Mus musculus: one gene and its partner. The protein of the gene in region 1 interacts with the protein of each later gene in a pairwise test. Links are inferred from orthologs where the notes say so. Each region holds a gene or a part of one and is shown on either strand. Other genes may lie near its edges.

Region 1 (8,199 bases):
GAAGAGAAGAGAAATGGCAGACACAGCACGGGGGCGGGAGGAGTGTGGGTGTTGGCTTCACATTGTCTGAGCACCTGGACTTAGCTTTACCATGTACAAACTTCATTACCTTGGGTAGGTCACGTATCACTCAGAGTCTCAGTATCTTCTCTGTAAAACAGGCCTCACTCATTTGTCTGCCAAATACGTCAAAGGACCAACAAAGAACACAATTGTCCAAATCCCTGAAGAGTAGACTCCACATCTGGGCAGGGGTGGTACAGGCCAGTAATCCCAGTATGTGGGAAGTAAAAGCAAGAACATCAGGAATTTGATGCCGTCCTTGGCTACATACTGAGTTCAAGGCTATCTGGGTTTCATGAGACCCCGTGTCATGAAAAATAAATTCTAAAGGAAAGCATAATAATACAAGTTCAGGTATTAATAAAGGCAACACAGGTATGAATATAATATTCAGTATAAATATGTGATATCGATAAGTTAATTTTTTTTTACCAGTAAAATGAGCCACCTCAAGCCAGATTAGATTATATTAAATGCAGGTTTATTGGGAAGCTGCTTTCAGGTGAGTTCACTGACCCCAAGGACTAAAGCCAAGGGAGTCGCCATGGGAAGGAGAGAGAGGTGAAGAGAAAAAGAAAGAAAGTAAAAGTATGCGCAGAGACTGAAGAGAAGAAGAAGAGAAAAGGAGATCAAAATGTCTGGAATATATAAGGAGGAGCCTCTCGGGGAAGGGCAGCCCAGCCCCTGGGCTAGAAAGTTCAGGGTTGGGGGCAGGGTATGCCAGGTAGGGGCTGAGAGATGCTGGGAGAACCTGGAGGCTAGGTCTGCTTTGGTATGGAAGATATGTCCTTCTCCCAGGACAGATACATGGATAGGGATGAGGTAGGAGTTAGTTAGGTGATGAAAAGCCTTCAAGAAGGGGGTGCTTCCGTTGCGTAATGGGAAGAATCCAACCATTCAAAATCTGATGGACAGACCTACTAGACAGAAGAACGGCAACAGCAAGGTCCGGAGATGAGAATGAGCTTCATGGGTGAGGGGACCAGAACCAAGGTCATTTCAAAGTTCATGGGAAGGTCCCTTGTAGGAGTACGTTCCAAGAAGAAGGCAGAGGTCTGCTTAGGGTGGGTAGGCCTTTTAGGTCAGCTGACAGAGCTAGCTTTCATCATAGGAAAGGAGATGCTACAAGAGGCTGGAATGACTGATACGATCTACATTTTTAGTTAGCTCTTTGCCTTTTTCCCCCCGTGGTGGGGGTTGAATCCAAGGCTTTTGCCAGGTGCTGACCACTGAGCAACATCCTTAAACCTTTGCTTTCCCTTTGCAAGAGAGTACTTTAGAATCCAGGAGGAAGAAATGGCGTTAGGCATGCTAGTAGGTCCATTTAACTGACTGCTTTCTTTTTTTTTTTTTTTTTTTTTTTTTTTTTTTCGAGACAGTGTTTCTCTGTGTAGTCTTGGCTGTCCTGGAACTCACTCTGTAGACCAGGCTGGCCTCGAACTCAGAAATCCACCTGCTTCTGCCTCCCAAGTGCTGGGATTAAAGGTGTGCGCCACCATGCCCAGCCTAACTGACTTTCTTGAATTAAGGCAGTAGAAATGGAGATGGTTGGGAGCATATTTTGAATGTGGTCCCTTCATGACTTTGCCAGGAGAAACTGGGTAAATACTGATATCTAGTGGGATGTCGAAGGGAAAGCTTGGTAAGAAATTTGCTTGCGAACTAGAGAAGCCATTTAAAAGTTTTTTGGCTGGATGGGTTTGTTTGATGTCCAAGTGAGTATGTGAAGGAGCCATTTGCGTGTATGATCTAGAACTGGGGGTGAAACAAGGGCTGAAAATGAGCTTTGGTAATTATTAACAAGCAGACAGCATCATCTATGGGAGATGGACATTCGTTCAGTCACACCAAGAGATACCAGAGGGGAGAGAAAGAGACACTCCTAAGTAGGGGCCCAAGATAGGAGGAATGGTAAAAGGAACATGACTCTGCCCTGAAAGGCAAGAGCAAAAGATGCTTCAGGGAAATGATGATCCACTGTGTGGAAAGCTGGGAAGGCAACGGAGGTGGCTGCTTGGGTCGGCAAGATGGAGAACCAGGAGCCATGGCAGAATGGACTGGGATTGGCGAGAGAGAAACGGGAGGTCAAATGGAGAACAAACTGCGTACAGATCATAGTGATAGCCATTTTAAAGAGAAATAAGGGAAGGTGAGGTGGAAAGGGTTTCGTTTTTAAGGCAAGGAACCCTTGATCTTGTTTTTATGATGAAGGAAAGGGTCCCATTGAGTCGAGCCAAGTATTAGTCTTTGCTTGGAAAAGAGGTTTTTTTTTTCTTCCCAGGATGGAGAAGTCTGAAAGTCTGAAAGAGCCAGGGAAACAGGGAAATAAGAGTTGTTGCTAGAGGTCAAGGATTCCCAGGCAGGTGAGGGACCGCGGGCATCCAACCCACTCCAAGCCCCGCCCCGCGGATGGAACCTGAGACGGGTCCTTGCGCACGCGCCTTGCCCGTTTCCGCCGAGTGGGGGCGCTCGCGGCCTCAGAGGTACCTAGTGTTCAGAGGCGGTTCCGGCCGCCAAAGCCCCCCTGGGGCGGCACCGGCCGGGAGGCGGGAGCCCCCCCTTTGGAGACCGCTTGTGGGGGGCCGCCGAGATGCAGGCCATAACCAGTAAGTGCCAAGTGTCTTCTTTGCCCCCCGAATCCTCCGCCGCGCCCCCTGAAGGCCCCAGCCCGCAGTCAACCGGCGCCAGCTCTTTGGAACCTGGTCCCTGCCTTTCCAACTCCTGGCTGGCCTATCCCATTCAGCTTCCAAGATGAGCCTGGCCCCTCGCCACCTATCACTACCCTGACTCCCATGATCTAAGAAGGCTCTTTACAGAGCCAGGTCCCGAACAGCTAGCTAGTGAGGTTTGAGGGTATGCTAGGGAGATGGAGGTTAGGCTGTGCCCCTAGAATGCCCAGGCCTGGGGTGGGGTCTTCATCATAGTGACCAGTTGACACCCCCCCCCCCCCATGCCTCTCGCTCCAACTAAGCTGAGCTGAGGATCTAGATATCACCTTGTAAATTCTTGTACTGTGGAATATATTTGTGTTGTGGGGTGTTTTAGTTGGTCTTCCCATCTCTTGGTCATAAACTTTATGAAAACAAGGAACACGCTGGTTTTATTTACTTCCTTTCAAATAGAAAGTCAGGATGTGGGGATACGGGTCAGTATGTAGCCATATGAGATGCTGGGTTCAACCTGTCCACTTATTGGCCATATACCCAAATGGGTGCTTTCTCCCTTCTTCTCTCCCTCCCGTACAGCTTGACACAGGCTGGTCTCAAACTCCTAGACTCAAGCAGTACTCTTACTTCGGCCTCTAGAGTGCTGGGACTATAGACATGTACAATGGTGCCCTTAAATGTGTCTTATAGAACGCCCATGTGCTCTTAACATGTAATGTTGCGTATACAGAAGAAACTCAGTAAAAATTGAATGAATGAGTCTCTACCTCCTACATGAATATAGTAAATTTATATTTATTGAGCTGGATTTGGGCTTAATTTCCTTGGTTAAAGGTTGAACCCAGCATCTCATGTGTGCTAGGTACTGAACTACATCCCCATGGCCTGACTTTCTGTTTGAAAGGAAGTAAATGAAACCAGCATGTTCCCTGTTTGCATAAACTTTATAGCCAAGTGAGGACAGAACGGAACACAGCCACATGTGCTACAGAGTTCAAGGCACTATATGAGCCTTGAGGATTCCTCTTAACTTTTGGAGGAGGTGGAGGAGACGTTAGAAAAAGATGGAACCTGGATGTTTGCTAGAATATGCAGGAGATGGGACATGGGGACAGCATACCTTGTAAAGTCCAGTTCTCTTCCATCCCTTAATCCTTCCCACACTTCTGAAGTCTTCTTGAAATCCATGACTTTAACTCTCCACTTCCGAGTTATTTTCACCCATTCCAAATGGGTGCCTGCATCCAGATGCGAAACTAGATATAGTGACTCATGTCTGTAATCTCATCACTCGGGAGGCTGAGTTTGAGATCAGCCTGTGCTACAGAATGAGACCCTGTCTTAAAAAGCAAAAGAGGAGAGGTAGGTGGATCTCTTGAGTTCCAGGACAGCCAGGGCTACACAGAGAAACCTATTTCAAAAAACCAAAAAAGAAACAAACTGAAACAACCTCAGATGATCCCCAGGGTTCTGACACATTTGTTTTGCATATTAAAATATAAGCACAATCCATATATAAAGTGTAGACACGTGTGAAAAATCAAGCAACACTGCTACAAGATGGAGATTAAGACACCTGTAATGTTACCCTACTCCTCTGAAGCAATTGCTCTTTTTTAAATGTATTTTCTGTGACTCTGTGAATGTGGAAACCAGGAGTCAGTGTCAAGTGTCTTCCTCACTCTTCCCCTTATGTTTTGAGACAGAGACTCTCACTAAACCAGGAGCTCCCTGCTTTAGCCAAACTGGCAAGCCAATAAGCTGCAGGGATCTGTCTCTGCCTGCTCCACATGCTGTAGTCCCAGGGTTAGGGCACCGACTCATGCCACTAGGTCTGGGTTTTATGTGGATGCCAGGGATCTGATCTCAGGCCCTTAATTAAGCTTGTATGGTAAGCCCTTTTCCCACACTTGAAGCGTCTACTCTTTATGGTTTGGGGCATAGATCTTCTTCGACTGTTTTTCTGTATCTTTAAGTATTTATGTTGTACAGTATCTGATTTGTTTTTCTTTCTCCCTAATATATCCTAAAAATCACTTTCATATTTTTCTAGCTAGTAAAAAAGGTTTCTTTTGACTTAATGTTTTTGGAGGTCTAAAAGTGGCACAGACATTGGCTTCTACTTAAGGCTCTCGGTGAGCTGTATCATGATCCCAACAGTTGATGTTGTCAACCACCATGCAGGTTATTATTCGGTGTTTTATTTTTTTTTTTAAAGATTTATTTATTTATTATATGTAAGTACACTGGAGCTGTCTTCAGACACTCCAGAAGAGGGCGTCAGATCTTGTTACAGATGGTTGTGAGCCACCATGTGGTTTCTGGGATTTGAACTCCGGACCTTCGGAAGAGCAGTCGGGTGCTCTTACCCACTGAGCCATCTCACCAGCCCTGGTGTTTTATTATTTTGTGGTGAAATTATTATTTAATTTCACCTTGAATTCTACATGTGTACTGTTTTGCATCCTGTGCTTACAGGAAGTGTGGGGCTAAGAGGAGCCTCTGGGGTCTTGTATTTCCTAAGCCCCAGGATGGATAAATGAAAATACTCTGAATTTTGTTTTTTTTTTAACTTACGAAATTTTTAGAAAGACTTAGGACACTGATAAAATACAACCTATTAGGTGCTCTGGATCTCTGGTGGGGGAAAGACTAGGTTGTCAGTGGCTTTCAGACAGCAGGTAAGACTCTCTTGAACGCTGTGTTTCCAGACTTTGCTCAGCACATTCACCTCTTGACCACCAACCTTTGGGTTTGTTTGTTTGTTTGTTTGTTTGTTTTTCAGGTGAGCTGCAACATCTACGGGAGGAGATTTCCCTGTTAGAGCATGAGAAGGAAAGCGAACTTAAAGAAATGGAGCAGGAGTTGCATTTGGCCCAAGCAGAGATCCAAAATCTACGGCAAGCTGCGGCAGACTCTGCCACTGAACATGAGAGTGACATAGCGTCCTTGCAGGATGATCTCTGCCGGTTGCAGAATGATCTCGATGACATGGAGCGCATTCGAGGGGACTATGAGATGGAGATTGCCTCGCTCCGGGCAGAAATGGAATTGAAGACTTCTGAACCATCTAATCTAAGCATCTCCGACTTCTCTGGGATACAAGGTATGCAACTTTCTGGTCTGTTCACACAGTTGAACAGAGGAGAGGACATTGTAGATAGGAAGATGGTGGAAGAGTAGTGTTAGATTACGCATTAGAAACCTCTAGAAAAAAAGATCCCCTGTGTTTACTTTGAGATTGGAGAGGAAAACTCAGCTGTTACATAACCAGTCCATGATGGTGTAAGAATTAGAGATGGACCCTGGAGATTCTTAACAGAGAGCTGCCGGGCACTGGTTGGTGTGAGTATGGGAAGGTCCACTCTGGGAAAGTGTCCAGGTCTGGGGTAGATGCAGAAGGACCTGTCACGGTAGGAAACACTTCCTGCTGCTGTGGCATCATGGCTCTTTGCCTGAACCTGTTTGGGCCTCTAGCCCAGCCTTTAAGATCCAGAATGCTAATTCTTAGCTTCATTTAGCCCTCCTGAGTAGAAACTTTGGAAGGCAGCTAATCGGAGCACAAGACAGCTGGAGAGGAAAAAAAGGTTATTTCTAGTAATGCATGCGGTACTCAAAAGCTTCGAGCCCTGTTCCAGTCTGTCTCCCAGCTCGTTGCTAGGATTCATGACATCAGAGGGTTTGCCTTTATTCTAGCCTAGATTTATGATCCAAGTATAATGGAGGCCCTATATTTGGCCAGGTCAGGCAGAGACAGTCAACAAGGAAATCAAAGAATTGCAATCTTCCCAGCCGTATGAAGCTTTTCAGAAAGAGTTGCCTTTGGCCGGGTGGTGCTAGGAAAGGGCAGTGCAGGGGAAGGGGGCAGCTAGGGATGACCTAACCTGAGTCAAAAACCTGGCTCTAGTTGGGGAGCAGGATCAACTCAGTCAAGTTACTGTCTCTCTCCAAGCTTCATCTCTATATCTGGAGTCTGAACCCTACTTGGTTGATAAATTCTTACAGCAGGATGGGACTCTGGGACAAGAAAGGGAGGCCTAAGGGAAACACAGAGGAACCTGAGTGCTATGTGGAGTTAACTAGGATGGATGGCTGCTGGCTCCTTAGTCATGGCAGATGGGCAGTGGTGAGCTAAGAGCCCACAGCTGAGGAACCAAGGGGAGAATTCTCCAAGTGGGCTTCGGACTGGCTTCTTTTGTTTTGTTAGTCTAAAACTATACTAAAATCAAAGGTTTATTTAAGCAGGAGATCTTATAAAAGGCTATTTCAAGGATTAAATGAAGGTCAAAACCATCAAGTCTTCATACACAGTTCTCATTACAGTTTCTTACTTCCCACTGTAATCTTCAGGAATCTGAGAGTATTTATTTATTTATTTATATTTATTTATTTAAGACAGGTGTCCCTACATAGCCCTGGCTGTCCTAGAATTTGTTATGTAGACCAGGCTGGCCTTAAACTCACAGAGGTCTCTGCCTCTGCCTCCCAAATGCTGTGATTTAAGCTTGTGCCACCATGCCTGGACCTGTCTAAGAACTTGTGGTTGGATTAAAGAAGAAACATTAAAACTGGAGTTCAGGGGTGTTGAATCCTCTTACAAGTAAAATACCGTATATTGTAATTAAGGCCAGTTTGTGCATCTTAAATGTTAGTAGAACTAGTGTTCTAAGTGCTGTGATTCTTTGTCTGTGAATGAGTGTGTGCTGTATGTGTGTTGGAGTAGGGGACGCACTGACATCTACACATACTGTAGAAGCCAGGGGTTGATATGGGCATCTGCCTCTATCAGTGTCTGACATACCTTTTCTGGAGACAGGATCTGTTACTGAACTTGAAGTTTACCACCTTGACTAGACTGACTCACTAGGGATCCCCCAGAGTCTACCAGTCTCCACACCCTCAGTGCTGGGGTTATAGGTACAAGCTACCATCCCTGGCTTTTTAATGGAGACGTTGGGAATCTGAACTTAGGTCCTCATGTTTATACAAACACTTTACCTACTCAGCCACTTCCCCAGCCCCAGTAATATTATTCTTTTCTTGAAATCTTTATTTGGTTTTATTTATATGTATGTGTATCTGTGTGTCTGCCATGTTTGTGTAACTGCTGAGTCCAGCAGTGGGCGCTGAGCTGAAGTTATAGGTGGTTATAAGCCAGGTAACATGGGTGCTGGAAACTGATGTCGCTCTTGTAGAAAAGCATCAACTCACTTAAAGACTGAGCCATCTCTCTGACTCTCTGGCCCTGTTGGTTCTTATTCATAAAGAGATAAAGCATGGGTATTTGTAGCAACTGGGAAATTTTAATTAACCTTTTCTCTCTTCTAATGCTTGAGGAAAACATTTTAGATTGAGATGGGCTTTTTTTGTCAGCAGATGAAGAAAACGAATATGACTTGGGGGTGGTATGCTTGCTGGCTTGCATGGTAAGGCCCTAGGTTTTATCCCAAGCACCCTTCCTCCTCACCAA
Region 2 (3,600 bases), on another chromosome or scaffold:
ATAAGAGAAAAATGTCACCAGGAAGCAGTTTGCCAGAAGGAGCCTAAGGGTGCTGCTGGTGGTGGTGGGGGAGGGTGGAAGAGGAGGTCCCCTCTTCTGCACCTTTCGTCCCAAAGAAGGGGGGATTAAGACCCCGGTGGTGGTCCCCTTTTTTTCTCTAGCGGAGAGGCTGACGCCGTTGTCACCAGATCCACAGATGATGTCTAAATATGACTAATTAAAAAAAAAAAAAACCTGCAAACCATGGCGATTAAAAACAACAGAAAAAGGTGGGCGTTTTATGTAATGTGATGAGCATTACTATGCAGGCAGAACTCCAAAATATAGTACCTTTGGAAGGTTATTCATCACATCCCAAATACGTTTGGTTGTGACGTTTCAGTCAGTTTAGAGATGGGCGGGGGCGTGTGTGGGGCGGGATAGGGTGGGGTGGGGAGGGGAAGAGGGGTCCAAAAAAAAAAAAAAAAATGGAGTGCAAACTCCGGGGAGTCGAAACTTTGCCAAGTTCACTCTTGCCTCCTTAGCCTATAAAAACCGTGTCGGGCACACAGTAGGTGCTCGGTTGAAATATTCCAAAGAGTTCGTGTGACAAACGTCATGACGGATGCAAGAGCGAATTTTCTAGTGGAGGTGTCGTTGTCTCTCCATCCAGCTTTTGTCAGTCTCAAAGGCGTCTTGGGTTCCCAAAGGGTTAAAAAAAAAAAAAAACAAACTCACTTAATCCAAGCAGAGACATGACATTTTTTTTTTCCCCGTCTCGAAATAAATGTCAAGAATGGGTTATTCTAATTCTGGGATAGAGCCAGACGTGGGCATCTGGAATGATTTCCGTGAATTAAAAAAAAAACAAAAAAACAAAAAACAACAAAAAAAACCAAAACCAAAAAGAAAAAGAAACCCAAAAAAACCAAAACCAAATCACCCCAATCGCCACCATTTTCTCCAGGTAATTTTCCATCCCTGCCCCCACAGTCAAGAGACACTGAGAAGAAGAAGAAGGAAAAAAAAAAGTACTTCTTCCATCCTCCCTGGCTGTTTAAGAAAAGAGGAAGGCGCGGGCCAATGAGCGGCGCGCGGGAGGCCGGGGCGCGGCGGGGGCGCCGCGGGGACCGCAGCCCCCCAAACTTTGGCAAGTTGCGGGCGGCGGCGCAGCGCGGGGCGCGGCCGCGAGAGGAGCCGCCCCCTCGACGCCCGCCGCCCCCTCCCGGTCCGGCCCCGGCCCAGCACCGACCGGCTGGGCTCAAAGTTTGCGGCCGCCCCTGCGCCGCGCGCCCGATGTATGGGTGATCTACTGCGGCGGCGGCGGCGGCGGCGGCGGCAGGGTGAGGGACGGCCATATTTGCCGGCGCGGCCCGAGCCGGCGACAACAAAAAGTGCGCGGGCTCCCGGCGGGCGCTCGGACGGCTGCGGGGACGTGGGGCCGCCCGGCCCGGGCCTCGGCCTCGGCCTCGCCGGCGCGCTCGCGGCCTGGCCCGGCTCTGCCCGGCGCGCCCGCCGCCCGCGGGGATGTCGTACAAGCCGAACTTGACCGCGCACATGCCCGCCGCCGCCCTCAACGCCGGTGAGTGAGAGCGAGCGAGCGCGGGCCGCGCGCGCCGCCCCGCGCCGCAAGTGTCGCCAAGTTGGGGGCTCGCGCTCCGGGCCGCGGCCCGGGGCTCCCCGGAGGCGCGCGGTGCCTTGGGCGGGCGTGCTGGCCGAGGATGGTGGCGCGAGGGAACGGGGCGGAGGGAAGGAGGTGTCCCGGGCCGGGGCAGCGGGAACGCCACCGCCGCCGACTCAGCCGCGCCGCCGCCGCCATGATTCCGCCGCCTCCGCTGCGCTGCCAAAGTTCGCGGTGCGCCCGGAGCTCGGCGGGGCAGCGGCCGGGGGCTCCCGGTGTGAGCGGCGGGGCGGCCGCGGATGGCGGGGAAGCGAGGACGCGGGCAGCCGAGCGAGGAAGGCTCCCCCCCCCCAGCTCCCCCCCTTTTTCTTTCCCCTTCCCTTAGGCTTTTTGGGCGGCTCGGCGAGGGCCCCTGCCGGCGGGAGGCGGGCGACGCAGTGAGCAAGGAGCGGGGCTCGGAGGGTCGGCGGAGCGGGACAGGCTGGGGCCGAGCCGGGTGCAGGGCGGCCGCGGGCCCGGGAGGGAATCTGGCCAGGGTTCCGGGCGGCGGGCCCGGTGGGCAGGGGCCGCTTCCTGGCGATGAGAGCGACTCCCGGGTTCCTTCCCCCGGCCCTCGGGAGACCCCTTGGAAGAAGTTGCAGTGCCCCGGCCTCGTGGGTTCTGTGGGCGGCATGCTGCGGCTCGCCGGTCCCGGGGGTCCCCATCTCAGATCTCCCACGTGGGGACGTCCCCGCAGGGCCGCGCTGCGCAAGCCAAGTGGACCTGGTCTCCCTTCCCCTCCGGGCCTGGGCGCCGCCGAGGAAACTCTTGCAAAGTTCCCAGGCAGCTTTGGGCTGTGGCTGGGGGCTAGCCCCGGACCCCAAGGGAACCCGGAATAGGGATGTGAAACTGACTTCCAGAGGTGACTGGCTTTGTGTCCAATTCCAGTACCCTCTCCTCCCAGACATTTGGCTGTGAGCAGACCACCCCAAGTAGTCTGATGCCCCAACAGATGCCAAGTAGTGGGGACCAGGAGGGATAAGGCCTTTGGGAGGAGTTGGGGGTAGAAGTTGGTTATGGTCGCTGTGTGTTAAAAATCCCACCCGCGTTGGCACTTCCAAGTTGGAGGTCTTGTGTCCAAATGTTGATTCCAGAACTCCAGAAACCCTCAGAGGGACCTGGAAAAGCTCTGGACGTGTGTTTTAAACCACTTCTCTGCTCTTTGGGGTTTGGAAAAGGTTGAGATTTAGGGTGCCAGCCTGGGAGAGTTGAAACGCTAGCACGTGGGCACAAAGACCCCCCCCCCCCAAGAGCATGCAGTCACTGTATCTTTTCAAATGGTTTCACTCCCTTTGGGTGACAGGATTTGTCGTCAGATATGATTTTTGCCTCTCAGTCTTCTTGGTCAGTGTTTGGGATGGAAGGGCAGTAGGTTGCGTTGCCAGCCCTAGGGAGACCAGAGACGTAGGCTTGATCTGGGCTAGTTTCCCGTGTGTCTTACACTGGGGACCTTTTGGGGTGTGGGTCCCAGTGCAGACCGCCCCTGGGACTCTGAAGCCCTGTTCTGGGCTTGCTAGCACCTGTATTCAGCTGTAGTTATTTTGCCAATGGGGAATGCCAGGATGCGTGCGGGGGTCTCCAGGTGTTCGGCATTTTGGTGGGGGCCCGCCCGCTTGCCGGTATTACTTTGCAGAAAGCCCTTCTCTCCCCTGCCATCTGCATCCAAGATGGACTCTCACAGTGGCTCCTCCGCCTTCCCTGTCATCATCTCTCACGCCCTCCAGGCCTGCCTCCTGCTCACTGAGTTGCCAAGCTGCGGCCTGGCCGGCAGTGGCAGTGGCGGAGTTAGACAAAGCCCCCGCCTTCCCCCGCCCGAGAGCCCCCCCCCCCCAGGGCGCCCCAAGTGGCGGGAAGGCCGCCAGCTCCCCAGGCCCAGGCCGCTCTTTGTCTGGCATGGGGGCGGGGAGCTGAGCCTGGCCCCAGGAGCTTCCTGGCCTCTGCCAAGCCCTCTCAGCTCTCTC

What was found.
Region 2: the proteins of Ccdc136 (region 1) and Cdk2ap1 interact in binary tests that used the Homo sapiens proteins (3 or more experiments, as listed by UniProt). The two-hybrid records come from large-scale screens. The link is inferred for Mus musculus from reciprocal best matches to the Homo sapiens genes CCDC136 and CDK2AP1.

The regions. Positions count from the first base shown.
Region 1 is NC_000072.6:29,400,357-29,408,555, forward strand, and holds part of Ccdc136 (coiled-coil domain-containing protein 136), read left to right. Parts: intron 1-2,505; exon of another isoform or gene 2,506-2,653; coding exon of another isoform or gene 2,654-2,669; intron 2,670-5,514; coding exon 5,515-5,835; intron 5,836-8,199. UniProt on the Homo sapiens protein: May play a role in acrosome formation in spermatogenesis and in fertilization.
Region 2 is NC_000071.6:124,352,278-124,355,877, reverse strand, and holds the start of Cdk2ap1 (cyclin-dependent kinase 2-associated protein 1), read left to right. Parts: upstream 1-1,249; 5' UTR 1,250-1,506; coding exon 1,507-1,561; intron 1,562-3,600. UniProt on the Homo sapiens protein: Inhibitor of cyclin-dependent kinase CDK2. Also acts as a component of the histone deacetylase NuRD complex which participates in the remodeling of chromatin.